Pelodiscus sinensis: one gene and its partner. The protein of the gene in region 2 binds, or shares a complex with, the protein of the main gene of each other region. Links are inferred from orthologs where the notes say so. Each region holds a gene or a part of one and is shown on either strand. Other genes may lie near its edges.

Region 1 (7,636 bases), on a different chromosome or scaffold from region 2:
ACGTGGGGCGGGTGGACGCTCCGTGGGGCAGAGGCCAAACCTAAGGGGAGCCCAGGGGCTAGGCAGGTGAGGTGATGGGCCCCAGGGAATAGGAGTACAAGGGACTAGAAGATGGAGACGCTGGGGGGCAGGAGACTGGGGCTGTGAGGTAGGGGGCGCTGGGGCTGGCCACGTTGGAAGACAGGGGGCTGGGGCTCTCGGTACACGGGTGCCAGGGATGGACATACTTGGGGGGCAGGGGACATGGGTATGGGGATGCCAGGGATGGACAAGTTGGGGGTACGGGGGCGCCGGGGAGGGCCACGTGCGGGGATGGGACGGGGATGTACACTGGGGACGGGATACTGGGGGACAAGGGACCGGGCTGCGGGGGCGCCGGGGAGGACCCGCGGGGGGCGCACGGCACCGTGGCCGGGGGGGGAAGGGGGTGCTAGCCCCGGGGCCGCGGGTCTCACCGGGCTCCGCTCCGGGCCACGCAGGGTCCCCGCAGCAGGCGCCGCAGCGCCGGGTTCCCGCACACCCGCGTCGCCATCTTCGCGCTGCGGAGCCGCAGCCGGGCGCTGCGCGGGGCGGGCCGGGGGGGCGGGTCCGGGCGGGGACTCCCCTCCCCCCGCGCCCCTTTGCTCCCCCTGCCCGAAGAAGGGGCGCGCGAGGGCGCGATCCCTGCGCGGGGGGCGCAATTCCGTGCGCACCGCGTGCCCAAAGCGCACACGCCTGGGGCCGCAGCTAAGCTTGGACGAGGCAGGGAAGCGTAAAATCTCCCCCTATTTCAGACCCGGGCTGCCCCAGCCTCCGAGCCCAGAGCCCCCGTCCCTCTGCAAGGAGGAACATCCCTTATAGGAGCAGCAGGGTGGGTCTCTTTGGGGGCCCATCTGTGCGCCCTCACGCCTGCCTGGACGCTCCTTGGGGTAGAGACCCAGTTCCATTCTTGGTCCTGTTGGTCTGCAGTCCTGAACTGGGACCTCTTGGTTAATCGCCTTGGCCATGGAGCAGGGCAGCTGAATTTTCGGTTGTGTCATTTCTAGTCTCCCCCCTCCCCGCGAAAACACAATCTATGTGCGGGGAGCACGGAGGAGTTGACCCTACCCATCTCCGGTCACTACATGTGTATACAATATTTGATCTGTATTTATAGTGTGGCTTTTAAAAAAATGGTGTAAGCCACCTCGAATATTTTAAATAATAGCGGCGGGGCAAAAATATTAAAAAGAAATCAGCGTAAATGAAACGAGCACAGAGATGGAAAGGGACGGGAATTCACCCGGCGCTGAAAAGCGTATCCTGGTTCTGCACTCAAATGCCCAGGAAGGTGTGGGGAGAAAAACGCTCTTGGTTAAACATCCAATGAAGACCTCCCCATTGAAAAAAGGCCTCAAATATCTTAAATAAGAAAGGCTGGGCAAAAATATTGAAAAGCTATTGCCATAAATGAAATGGGCGCAGAGATGGAAAGGGACGGGAATTCACCCTGTGCCGAAAAGCGTATCCTGGTTTTGCACTCAAATGCCCAGGAAGCAGCAGGGAGAAAAACACTCTTGGTTAAACATCTACGAATGACCTCCCCATTGAAAAAAGGCCTCGAATATTTTAAATGAGAGAGGCAGGGCAAAAATATTTCAAAGAAATCAGCATAAATTAAATGAGCGCAGAGATGGAAAGGGACGGGAATTCACACGGTGCTGAAAAGCGTATCCTGGTTTTGCACTCAAATGCCCAGGAAGCAGCGGGGAGAAAAGCGCTCTTGGTTAAACATCCAGCAATACTCCCCCCACCCATTGAAAAAAGGCCTTGAATATTTTAAATGAAAGAGGCAGGGAAAAAATATGTAAAGAAATCACCATAAATTAAATGGGCACAGAGATGGAAAGGGAGGGGAAGTCACACAGTGCTGAAAAGCGTATCCTGGTTCTGCACTCAAATGCCCAGGAAGCAGCGGGGAGAAAAACGCTCTTGGTTAAACATCCAATGATGACCTCCCCATTGAAAAAAGGCCTCGAATATTTTAAATGAGAGGCAGGGCAAAATATTGAAAAGAAATCAGCATAAATGAAATGAGCGCAGAGATGGAAAGGGACGGGAATTCACACGGTGCTGAAAAGCGTATCCCAGCTCTGCACTCAAATGCCCACGAAGCAGCGGGGAGAAAAGCGCTCTTGGTTAAATATCCAACAATGACACCCCCCCTTCCGGAAAAAAGGCTTCTAGCTACATTAGGACACCCCTGACTCCCTCTTCCTGCTATTTCTAAGATCTGAAAACAAGGGGAGTTGTTGAAATCCACCGCAAAGGCCCAGACGCAGGAAACCAGACGTTGTCCCCCGTGCGGGTCGCTGCATTGCTAATCCCGTTTGGCAAGGAGGAGGCACGGTTTCCAGTCATTCGGAATATGGATTTTATGGGCCACCCCCACTTCTACAGACGCGCCGGGCAGCCGGCCAGGAGGATGCATTGCTGTCTGCATTCTTCATTTTCAAAGGTCCTCTAAGCCGACAAGTCACCTCCAGCCGGGGCTCCCTTGCTGTGCCGCAGGAGCGGCGTGGGGCGGATTTCGGGGTTACACGGGGAAGGGCCATTTGCGCGCCCTACCTTGCAAGGGTGAGCCAGAAGGAGGCTGACTCTGGGGGGGTGCAGACTGGGTCAGATTTCTAGGGAAGGACAAGTCAGGCTGCAGACAGTTGTTGCCTGGGCCACCTGCCTAGAGTACACTGAGAGGGGGTTCACCCCCCCCAGAGATGGCCATGGGATGGTGTTCCTGGGGGCGGCCCCCCACCAGCTAGATCCCCCCCCCACATAGGTACAATGCCCCAGATCACCTGCCTCCGCTCTGGCTAGGCCAGCGAGGGCAGCCAACTTTCTGTCAGCTGAAAAGGCAACCTGGCCCCGCCCCTTTCCTGAAGCCCCGCCCCTTTCCTGAGGCCCCGCCCCAGTACCTTCTCCAAGGCCCTCCCACACTCACTCCAGCCCCCTCCATTCCTTGCTTGCTTCCCCCCCCCCACTCACTGGTTTTCACCAGCGTGGGCCGGGTTACGGGAGGGGGGAGGGCTTTGGCTGGGGGGGTGTGGGCTGTGGGGTGGGGCTGCAGGAGGGGGCTAGGGCTGAGGGATTTGGCGTGGGGGAGGCGGGCCCCATGGGGGGGTGTTAAACTTATTTCTTAGGGTGTGATCCTTCCTGGTCGTGGGGGGGGGGGGAGGCAGAGGAAACAGCAGCGATTGGCTGGCGAGGGAGGACGACTGGCAGACAGGCAAAGCCCAGGGGGCGCCAAAGCACCGGGGGGGGGGGGCGGATTTCCCTGCCCCCTGTCCCTTGGGTGGGGTCTGGGGGCGCCAGGCCCAAAGCGAAACTGACGCAGATGGGCACGTGCCAGGGCTTGGGTGCTGCAGTGGGGCTCGGGTCCCGCCCCGATGGCTCCAGACCCCGCCCACACAGGTTCAGACCCCGCCCTGACCTCTCCAGGCTCCGCCCTGCTTGCTCCAGGCCCCGCCCAGAGGGATCCTGGCCCCGCCCACACAGGTTCAGACCCCGCCCTGGCCTCTCCAGGCCCCGCCCTGACATCTAAAGCCCCGCCCGGATGGCTCCAGGCCCCACCCTGAGTGTTCCAGGCCCCGCCCTCATGTCTCCAGGCCCCGCCCACACAGGTTCAGACCCCGCCCTGAGTGTTCCAGGGCCCGGCTCAGGCCCCGCCCTGACAGTTCCAGGCCCCGCCCATCGAGCCTGAGTCCGGGAGGCGCTCAGGCCGCCGCGAGGGGGCGCGCGAGCCCGCGTGACGCCTTCCCCGGCCCAGGCCCGCCCCCTCCAGCGGCCTCTCAACCAAGCCTGCTGGGGAGGCGGGGCGCGCGCGGCGGAGTGGCAGCGCCGCCGGCCAATCGGGGAGCGGCTCGCGCCCAGGCCGGCCGGGCGGGGCTGGCGATTGGCCGAGGCGGGCGGGCGGACGGGCGGGGCCCCGCCCCCGGGGGGGGGCGCGGCCAATGGCGGAGCGCGCTGGGGTTCGGCTGCGCCAGCTGAGGCCCGCCGCGCTCGGTGGGCAGGGACCGCGGGGCCCGGTTCTGAGCTCCCCCGCCCCGCCCCCCCGGGCTAGGCCCCCCCCTCGGGCTAGACCCCCCCCCGCGGAGCGCCCGCCCCTCCCCCCGGGCTAGGACCCCCCCAGACCCCCCCGGGCTAGACCCCCCCCGCGGAGCGCCCGCCCCTCCCCCCGGGCTAGGACCCCCCAGCCCCTCCCCCCCTTAGTCCCCCTCCGTCCTAGGCCCCCCGCCCCTCCCCCCACCTCCCCACCCTCCCCCCCGAGCTAGGCCCCCTCTACTCCCCCTACATCCCCCCCACCCTCCTCCCCTCCCCCTCTTAACCCCTCCCCCATAGGCCCCCGCCCTTCCCTTAGCCCCCCCGCCTCTGCCCTCCCCCCCTCCTCCCCTATAACCTCCCGCCCTCCCCATCCCCCCTTTAGCCCCCCCATAGCCCCCTCCCCCGTTCCCACCCCCATCAGGCCCCCCCCTTTCCTCCCCAGGGCTAGACCCCCCCCCGGGATAAGCCCCCTGGGTCAGCCCCTCTGCACTCCCTTCCCACTGCCCCCCCTCTCGGGCTGGGTCTCGCAGGGCTGCCCCCCCCCCACTCCGGCCAGGCCCGCTGCACGCTCGCCCCGCCCCCGTTGGCGAACCGGAGCCACTGGGGGCTGGTAGGGTGCCCCCCCGGGGACCAGACCCAGCTCACCCCGCCCCCCGCCTGCCCCTGGTGCCGGGCCTCGGGCAGCGTGTTGGAGGGGAGAAGTGGGATCTTGCCCTAATTCCCGGCACCCCACCATGGCCGGGGCCATCGCGTCGCGGATGAGTTTCAGCTCCCTGAAGAGAAAGCAGCCGAAAACCTTCACGGTGCGGATCATGACCATGGACGCCGAGATGGAGTTCAACTGCGAGGTAACAGCGTCCGCAGAGCACCACGGCCAGCGCCTCCGGATCGCTGCCGGCGCGGGGTTCCCGGACACCCTGCTGCCCGGCGGGCCGCTTTCGTTCCACTGTGGAGCGATCCCTGAGCCGGCCACGGAGACGCACCCACCCCTGGAGCGGACGGTGGCGGCGGCTGGGTAAAGCGCAGCACGCCACAGCTACACAGTGGGTTGGGACAGGCCCCGAGGACGGATCGGGGGGAAATCAAGGCAGGCCACATGTAGGTAGTTGGAGCCCTCTAAAAGTTGGCCCACTAATGGCTTGCCGCGTATTGGTAAATCAGAGCAAAGTGCTCCCGATAAAATCCACTTTCTGCGCGCTGCTGCATCCCGGCGTCCAGAGATGGGGAGTTGCTAGCCAAAGACACACCCTCTAGAGCAGCGTCTCTCAACTTTTTTTTTTTTATAAAGTACCCCCTTCAAAAAAAAAAAAAATAAGTATCCCCGATACCTCCAGTTTTATAAATAAAATTTAAATCACTGGAGATTGCCTATCTCCTAGAACTGGAAGGGACCTTGAAAGGTCATCGAGTCCAGCCCTCTGCCTTCACAGCAGGACCAAGTACCATCCTTGACAAATATTTGCCCCAAATCCCTAAATGGCCTCTGTGAGGATTGAACTCACAGCCCTGGGTTGAGCAGGCCCATGCTCAAACCACTGAGCGATCCCTAAAAAAAATTTCCGACACACAATTTCAGACAGGTACAGATGTGGTCTCCTCACCTCAAAAAAGATATTTTGGCCTTGGAAAGGGTTCAGAAAAGGGCAACTAAAATGATTCGGGGTTTGGAACGGGTCCCATATGAGGAGAGGTTAAAACGACTGGGACTTTTCAGTTTCGAAAAGAGGAAACTGAGGGGGGATAGGATAGAGGTCTATAAAATCATGAGTGGTGTAGAGAGGGCCGATAAAGAAAAGTTATTTATTAGTTCCCTAAATAGAAGAACTAGAGGACACTAATTGAAATTAATGGGTAGCAGGTTTAAAACTAATAAAAGAAAGTTCTTCACACGGCGTGTAGTCAACCTGTGGAACTCCTCGCCAGAGGAGGCTGTGAAGACTAGGACTATTATTAGAGTTTAAATTGAAGCTAGATAATTTCATGGAGGTTAGGTCCATAAAAGGCTATTAGCCAGGGGATACAATGGTGTCCTTGGCCTCTGTTTGTCAGAGGCTGGAGAGGGATGGCAGGAGACAAATCGCTTGATCATTGTCTTCGGTCCACCCTCTCTGGGGCACCTGGCGCTGGCCACTGTCGGCAGACAGGATACTGGGCTAGAAGGACCTTTGGTCTGACCCAGTACGGACGTTCTTATGTTCTTAATTTTTTTTCTACCGTTGCAACATTTAATCGTCGCCGGGCAGGCGATGAAATTTTTGGATGTCAAATAAGGACACCCATAGTAAAACGCTGTGAAATTGAAAACAACGATTCAGTTTTCTCCAAGTTTCAGCAGCGTAAAAAGTCTACAGAAAAGAAAGCGCTGTAAAACTTAAAACGCAAATTCAGTTTTCTCCAAATTTGAGCAGCGTAAAAAGTCTACAGAAAAGAAAGCGCTGTAAAACTTAAAACGCAAATTCAGTTTTCTCCAAATTTGAGCAGCGTAAAAAGTCTACAGAAAAGAGAGCGCTGTAAAACTTAAAACACAAATTCAGTTTTCTCCGAATTTCAGTAGTGTTGATGTTCCCCTCCCAGACTTCTCTCGAGTACCTCTCAGGATCCTTGTACCACTGGTTGAGAAACATCGATTTAGAGTGTCTCCGGAGACACCAACGTGTTTGTAGCCAGAGATGGAACATCCACGTTTCAGTTTGAATGTTCTTGGATCTACTCCCTGCCACCTGCATCTGTTCCGGGTAGGCAGCTGTGTTCGTAGATGGCGCCACTTTTCAGAGGTCTGCATTGTAACGCCCTCGTTAATCTGCCATGGAAGCAGGAAGGGTTGGGGGGGATCTGGGCCCGCCCACTACTCTGGGTTCAGGTCGAGGGACCAGGGTTTTCCCTGTAGTCCAGTGGTTCCCAAACTTTTTGGCATCACGCCCCTTCCCCCCCCTCCCCAAAATAGCAGTAAAACTTGTTGAGAAAAAAAAAAGGAACTGAGCTGAGGGCGGGGGGTGAAAAACAAAACTTGCAGCAAAACTTGTTGAAAAAGAAAAAAAGATTGCCCTGCCCTTTTAAGAACAGAACAGGCATTGCTCTTTTAAGGTGGCCATTGTGAAATCTGCCCCAGCCAGCCCGAGCTGCATGTGTTCCGGCGGCCAAGCAGACAGACAGACAGACGGACTGGGCTCTTTCTTGAGGGGGAGGGGCAGGAGAGGGGCAGGAGAGGTCTTCGTGGAGGGGCAGGAGAGGTAAAGACGCAGCATCTGAGACAAGGAGTGAGTCGGGACACACCCGGTCCCTTGCTGCATCTCTGCCTTTTAAATGTAGTAAGAGCCAGGCAGGACTTTAAAAGGCAAGGCCCGGAGCTAACCCCACTGTGGCTCTGCAGGTCTCCCCTTATCGATTAATCGAGTAGTCGATGGAAATTCCATCGACTACTCGATTAGTTGATTAAACGGACTTTAACATCCTTAGCTCTGACTAGATTCCAATGTAACAAAATCAAATATAGGGTCACCCTCTATTTTATAGCTTAATTAGGTAAATTAATTTTGTTAATTAAAGGCTAATTAGATCATTTATCCCCTCTAACCCATAA
Region 2 (7,403 bases):
AGGCTCACTGTATATCATGACGGTTGATTTGTCAACTGATACTTCTATGTGTGACTCATTACATGCACTTGTTAGGAACAGCTACCTCGAAGTGGTGAAAATTCTTGAAGGTTGGGTTCCATCTATACTCTGTATTTCTTTTTGTACCAGTATATGTACATCATTGTAGCTATATACTCGTGCAAACCCCTAATTTATACATTCTCCCCTATTGTAAAGGATAATATGTACTATTGCAGTTTACCTGTAAAAGATGCACTTGTACACGTTGAAATGATTTGTAGATAGACTATGTCTGCTATCAGTCTTTGTAAATCCCAACTGGGGACATGACTACAGATCTAGGATCAAGATAGAGATCATAGTGTAAGCATAAGCTTCTCTGCCACCAAATAACCACAGGAAAACTGGAGAGTATTCTGCATAATAGAAGAGAGAGTGCACCACTTAAATAAAATGCCTCAATTATAATTAAAACAGCTGTCCTTTTGACCATTTGCAGGTTTTGACAGGAAACTTTAAAACACTTTAAAACATGTTTATATTAAATAATTGGACATTTGTAGAATGCATAGGAAAGATTGACTTTCAGAACTGTACGGCACGTTATTTTTCTGTTCTTTAAAGGTAACCTACAGAAAAGCGGGTGGAGGAAGATATGTTTTGTTTTTCTGTTTCACGTAAGAAGTGCTGAAAGATGGGGTTAGGGATGGAGATGGAGAGATGTCTTAATTTTGCTAGCTTCGGGGGTAGCCAAGTTAATCTGTACAGGAAAGAACAACAAATGGTCTGGTAGCACTTTATAGACTAACAAAACATGTCGATGGTATCATGAGCTTTCGTGGGCACAGCCCATTTCTTCAAACTCTGCTCATCTGAAGAAGTGGGCTGTGCCCACGAAAGCTCATGATACCATCGACATGTTTTGTTAGTCTATAAAGTGCTACCAGACCATTTTGTTGTTTGTTTTTTAAATTTTGCTAGGTTTTCTTAAAATGGGAATTCAAGTCTTGTCTAAGCTGGAATGCTCTGATACCTGGAGAAATAGTGAAAAGAATATCAGCAAAAAAGGAGAAGAATTTTCTAATTGCCTTTCAAAACTCTTAAACAAGTTTTACACAAGAGAAAAAATGAACTTAAATGAGTTTGAATAGAAGTCTTAGACTTAACACCCTAGGCCCTTCAATTAAGATGGTCAGTGCTCATAGTAATTTAACGCTTCCTGCTGGTCCTCTAAAAACCAGATTTCACGTTTCAGGTATTTCTAAGGTTAAGAAGGCCAAACTGCTTTTTTTTTTAAACTTGTCATAGTTCCTTTTTCATGTATTTTTGAATTATTAGATACTTCATAATTATTTTGCAGATTACTGTAAAAAAAAAATATGCCTAATAGCAACTTAAAAGGCTGCTCTCTTCCTGTGCATTGCAGTGATGAAGTTCATTTTCTATGGTTCAACCTATTTTCCACCAGTAGTAGACTGAACCATCAACACCTCTGCTTTCTCCTCTTCCCTCCCCCCCAAAAAAATAATTCTCACCTAAATAGTCTTACCATTCATAATAAAGGGAAGTATCACTGTGCAGGGAAAGAGGGGCTAAAGGAGAATTCTCACGGGTTTTGGGAGGTGAGATTTAGATTACTGTCAGGGAGGGGAGAAATGGATTTTTTTGTAACTTGGGCCCAGAAAGTGGTCATTGCAGTGGTAGCCAGAGGTCAGCTGTAGTTGCATGTCACCAAAATTAGAACCTATGGATATTACTGACTTGGTACAGCCACTTTTCCAAGGATCTTTACATCTGTTTCCCTTTCTGAATACAGTAAAGTGAAAGTGACTGAATGATCTATGATAAATGTATTTTGAGTGTCTTATTTAATATTATACGTTAAATGTTAAGTTACATACACCATTAACTTACAAGGCTACTCTAACTTCGTAGCAGATAACATTTAGTGAATTGCAAATAATTCTATTGAAGGGTTTTTGCAAGAAAACAAACTTCACAAGCTAAGCTCAAATTTGTGTTCAAAATCACTACTTTGTATTTGTACAAAATGATGCAACATGCTCATTTTTCTTCAGAAGTTAGATAAAATATGCCACTACTATGCCAAATGAGGTGATGCAGCTTTTTGAAGATCTAGGCAGCTTGCTCTTGGATATATTTTTTTTTTGTGATAAGGCCTTATTTCCTATATCTTTATTTGTATTCAGAGTTTTTAACCTCTTGGGAGACCTTGATTTTATTTTTTGTACACGGTTATGAAGATTCTTGCGCCTTCAAAAGTCTCTCCCGTCTGAGCTAGGTTGAAAAGGGAACAACCTATCTCCAAGAGGCAGTGGTAGGGAGGAGGAAATGAGTAGTCAATATTTCACTCGAGTGCATGAAACCATAAGTTTATTGGGTAGTTGACTAGCTGACTACTTGCTAATGTTCCCAGGGCAGGAGTGTTATGATGCTGTGGCCAAATGGGGGCTGGACCCCAATTGGAGGCTTTTTGGCCAGGCTTCATTTTTAAATGAAGGAAAATATTATGTCCAACAAAATGGTTTCAACATTGTCTATAATTATGGCTGCTAAGTACAAGCTTATTGGGTAGTTGAGTGGAGTATTGACTACTTACTCCCTCTCTGTAGAGGCAGCAAGGGAGGGACCAAGAGCTGGTGCTGGGTGAGCCAGCTGGCTTAAAGGCTGATTTTTCCCCAGCACCATGTCTAGGGTGCTGCCTGCCCCCTCCCCTGCCTCTATTAGAAGCAGAGGGGGGAGATAAGGGAGGCTGTTCTGGTAGCAGCCTCTGTCCATGGTGGTCCCAGCTGTGAGCTGGGCCCCCTCATCGATAGGGGCTGCTGGACTTGTGTTGGTCTGGGACACTGCCTCTGCATTTTAAATGTAGTAAGAGCCCAGTGGTCCTGCTTACGTTTAAAATGCAAAGCCGCAGGGTGGGTGGCTTCTGGAGTTGGCATGACCTGGGACTGCTCAGTGCTGGCTCCTGGAGCTACCCCTGCTGTGGCTCTGTAGACTGCCCCTTATTAACTAATCATGTAATTGATATAAATTGTATGAATTACACGATTAGCTACAACTGCAATTTAACATCCTCATCTCCCTCCCCTTCCCCCACACATCCCAACCCTCACAGCCCATCATACACATGAACTTCTTCCCCTGAGCCCCTTATTCCCTGTACATCCCCAAACTCCTGCACCTCCCCAACCCCTGCCATAAGGTTGACAGATGACAGCCTGAATGCATGCATAAAGCTGGATTTGACCAATTTCGATAAAAACATCAGAGAAATGTGCACAAAAATGCAGCAAAAAGTCCCATTAAAGTCTGTGAGTACAATATTTAATTTATGCTACTGTTAATCATGTCAATATTAAGTTGCATATTTTCAGTCATGCAAATGGGCATTCTTATACAGCTGTTTGTTGACTCTGTGTTTTGAATTTTGATGTAGTTTGGCTTTTGGTTTTGAAAATGTTGCCGACCCCTGATCTAAGGCATCCAATTAATAGATGCTGTGCTGCTAGTATATTATATCACATCCCATAAAATTCACTGTTAAATGTAAGGATCTGTATATTACAGGTCATGGTTGCTATGAATTTTTTATTACAGTCCTGGGTCCTGTCCATGCCTTTTTCTAATAAATAACCCGGATAACATTTTAGCTGACCATATTTAACAGTTCTGTACCATGCTGCCGCGGTCAGTATTGGCAGTTAGGAAAGTAGAGCAAGCTTGTGACAAAATTGCATAGTATTTCACATCTCATTAACTAAAGACTTGTTGAATCCACCACATGCCGGTCTGCCTTCATGCTGCCAGTGGCAGATAAATTAACCAGGTGAGGGATGTACAGATGCATGGCCAATTTCATACTCCCTGGAACAAGTGACATAGAATTAGCTTGGGTCGGAGCCCGCTCCCTGCCAGCCCTGGGCCGATAGAAGCGAAGGCAAAGGAACCGCGCGGGGCCTGGCCCGTAGCGGGATGTCAGTGTTGTGTGGCAATGGCAGGCAGCTGCCGGAGCCGGGGAGCCCATTGCTGAGAAGGCTGCAGCGCGGCTGGAACTTGCGAGCTCCCGGTGACTGAGACTCGCGTAGGGAATCTGGGAGGGCATCAGCCACCCAACCAATCCTACAGGCGGATTAGTCCATAGGTTCCTGGTTGGGGGGGGGGGGAGGGTGCACTACTCGCCGCTGCCACAGCAGGAGGGAGGGGGGCGCGGCCCATTGCCTGCCCCCCCCCCCTCCCTCCCTCCCGCGTAGAGCCGGGCCCGGCACGCTGACTCGGAGATGCTCACATTCCAATCCGGAGGGGCGGGGGGAGCCGCAGGGGATACGCGCAAAGGATGCCGGGAACGGCCCATATCCGGGAAGCCCTCTGCGCCAGACCCACCGAGAACATGGCGGCCCGGAACTGAGCCCCACGGGGGGTGGGGGAGGGGACGAGCTGCTACCAGCCCCGGGGACCCGAACGGCCCAGCCGCCGCCCCGCGGGCGGAGCCCAGCGCCACACGCAGCGCGCCGCTCCCCGCCACACGCGTGGGCCCGGGGCGACGCCGCCGCCGCTGCCTTGTCCCCGCAGGTAGGTCCGGCTGCCGCGGGAGGGGAGCGCGGCCTGGGGCACCCCGTGCCCGGCGGAGGCGAGGCCCTACTGGGCTGCGCAGATTGACGCGACTTCGCCGCCTCTGGGCCCGGGGCGGGTGTGGGGGGAGGTGAGCGGCGCTGCCCCCGAGTGAGCGGAGACAATACCAGCCCTTCCCCGCCCCCCACTCTCCCCGCGGAAGCCAGGCCCCGCCGCTGTGCGACCCCGCCTCCCGCAAGGGGGTTCCCTGTCTGCAGCTCCGTGCCCAGCTGTGCCTCCCTGCCCAGCCCGCTTCCCTCGCCCCGGCACAGCGCTTTGCCCCGGGGGGGGATTCCTCTCGCCGCGGATTCCCCGTGTGCTGCCCCAGCGCCTCGCCTTAGCTGGGCAGGGGCTGGGCAGCACCGACGAGAATCCACTTTGTTTCCTGGGGTGGGTGCAGGGGTCTGCAGTCGGTCTCTGCAGCTGGATTTGTTATATATTTGAACCCTGGATTAAATTTTGAAGCGTTTCTCCTTGTTCACCCAAAATAAATATGGGGAGGAGGGAGCGGAGTAATTGAAATCGTGTGTGTGAGTGATTCGAGACCCAGATCTATTCACTGTTGAGGACTGTAGGGATGGGATGGCAACATACTGAGGAGACTACCCTGGATGAGAGATCATTCCCTGAACATAATGCTCCCTTATGGCCTCTTTAGCTGTTATCGGCACTGACATCTGCAGTCAAATAGTTATAAGAAACTAGGTTGGTTAGCATACTTTCATTTAAGTGAAACCTAGTTTAATTTGTCTGTGGGTATCTCATGAGCATCTCACCATTTTAATGATTTAAATTTGATTAATGTTCACACATCAGTCTAATTTCCATCTCTAAGCATCTAGATGTCACAGATAAGGGAGAATCTAATACTTGAGCAGATGGTATTCATGCTGCTCTGAATTTTTGTATATAGGTTGAAAAATAAAGTACAACGCTGAGCTGCAGGATCAGTGACTGTCTTGTACCAAGTACAACGCTGAGCTGCAGGATCAGTGACTGTCTTGTACCAATATTTTAGAGCATAAGAAAGGCTATATAGATTCAGCTTAATGTTTCATCTAGCCCAGTATCCTGCCTTCTGGTACCAGCAACTATTAGATGTTTCAGAGGAAATGAACAGAACAACTACCAATTGATCCCTTATCATCCAGGCCCAGATTCTGGCAGTCAAAGGCATAGGGAGACAGAGTGTGGGGATTGTCCCTGATTGCTAAAAGCAAATGACAAACTTAATCTCCATGAATTTATGTAATTATTTTTTTAATTCAGTTATGTTTTTGATCAACTCAACATCCCTGGCAATGAGTTCCATAGGTTGATTGCTTGGTGTGAAGAAGTACTTTCTTATGATTGTTTAAAACCTGGTGCCTATTACTTTCATTGGGTGACCACTGGTTCTAGTGTTATGTGAAGGGATAAATAATGCTACTTCGCTTTCTCTATACAGATTGTGTTTTTTCCATTATCATATGACTTCTAAGCTAAACAGATGCAGTTTCTTTAATCTTTCCTCATATGTAAGCTGTTCCATACCCATCTTAATTGTTGTTACTCTAAGCTATACTTTTTCCAATTCTAATACTACTGTTTTGAGATGGAGCAACAAGAATTGCATGCCGTGTCAAAGGACTGGGTATATAATGGCATTATAATATTTTCTGTCTTATTTTCTGACTCTTCCCTTATGTTTCCTAAGATGGTTAGATTTTTTGACTGCTGCTGCCCTAATTGGCCTGGGGGCGGGGGGAGCATCAGGTCCTCTGCGGGCCTGATCCACCCACTTGGCAGCTGGATCTGGCCCGTGGAGGCCTTTTTGCCCACCACTGTTCTACTGGTACAATCTCAGTTGAGGAACCAGTTCAATTTGGTTTCAAAGCAATGCAGTTTTCAAGCTCATTGGTCTTTAGTCTGTCTTGCTAAGACCACCAAGAAAACATTAAATTGTATGCAACATTTAGTACATAGCATTTGTCTTCTGAGGATCTCAAAACAGTTTACAGAGTAAGTATAATTATCTCCATTTTATAGATAGGGGAAAATTCCTCAAGGGGGGAAATTCCTGGGAAAACACTTAAATCAGTAATGAATTTGTAGTGATTTTCTATCACAGTGTAAATTGACAAATGGGATTTTAAGTAGCTTACATAGTAGTGATCTGATAGTAATTATTTCTGGGTGCTATAAATTTCAACTTTGAATTAATAACCTAAATGTTCTCTTATTACTAGCCCTCCTGAGCCATCAGATAATTTTGTTCAGGGTCTTGGATAAGTTTACACTCCCAAATACCTTATTCCTGGATGATAGTGAGTTATTTTTTAGTACCTTAAAATGTAACTACATGTTCACTTTTGTAGCCAATTATTCTTTAGAGCTTTTACTGTAATCACTTGGATGCAGAAAAACTTGTTTTCCATTATGTTGGTAAGCAAAAAAAAGTCAAGCTTAGAACTGGCAGTAAGTTACCTTTGCCTTCACTTTTCTTTGGGATGTGTGTGTATTCAAACACTGCAGTCACATTTCATACATTAAAAGCAATAAGTAATAAAACTAAAGAACAAAAATCTGTTTGCTTAAGAATAATTTTAAACAGTTGTTTTAATAACTCATGGCACACTTGCTGCATTATCATATTTTAAACTATTTATTAAACTTTTGCATTTTTGAAGTATTTTTAATGTTAAAGTTGCAGTGAAGATTTACATTTCCCAAATTAAGAGTTAAGGTTACAAAGGGAAGCTAGTTAGGTACCCTTATCTCTATATGCATTA

Evidence for each region.
Region 1: the proteins of LATS1 (region 2) and NF2 are in contact, whole or in part, in a crystal structure (PDB 7LWH), measured with the Homo sapiens proteins. The link is inferred for Pelodiscus sinensis from reciprocal best matches to the Homo sapiens genes LATS1 and NF2. Residues at the interface, in NP_004681.1 of Homo sapiens: Pro69, Lys70, Phe71, Gly72, His74, Ala77, Leu78, Glu80, Ile81, Arg82, Ser84, Leu85, Phe88, Ala89, Asn90; in NP_000259.1 of Homo sapiens: Pro135, Glu136, Ala137, Val139, Leu140, Tyr144, Asn175, Leu176, Tyr177, Gln178, Met179, Met183, Trp184, Arg187, Trp191, Glu206, Ile210, Asp213, Leu214, Glu215.

Annotation. Positions count from the first base shown.
Region 1 is NW_027465935.1:549,271-556,906, forward strand, and holds the start of NF2 (merlin), read left to right. Parts: upstream 1-4,512; 5' UTR 4,513-4,790; coding exon 4,791-4,904; intron 4,905-6,630; exon of another isoform or gene 6,631-6,725; coding exon of another isoform or gene 6,726-6,830; intron 6,831-7,636. Other genes in the region: NIPSNAP1 (protein NipSnap homolog 1), read right to left, coding at 456-532. UniProt on the Homo sapiens protein: Probable regulator of the Hippo/SWH (Sav/Wts/Hpo) signaling pathway, a signaling pathway that plays a pivotal role in tumor suppression by restricting proliferation and promoting apoptosis.
Region 2 is NC_134713.1:106,440,460-106,447,862, reverse strand, and holds the start of LATS1 (serine/threonine-protein kinase LATS1), read left to right. Parts: upstream 1-4,357; 5' UTR 4,358-4,593; intron 4,594-7,403. UniProt on the Homo sapiens protein: Negative regulator of YAP1 in the Hippo signaling pathway that plays a pivotal role in organ size control and tumor suppression by restricting proliferation and promoting apoptosis.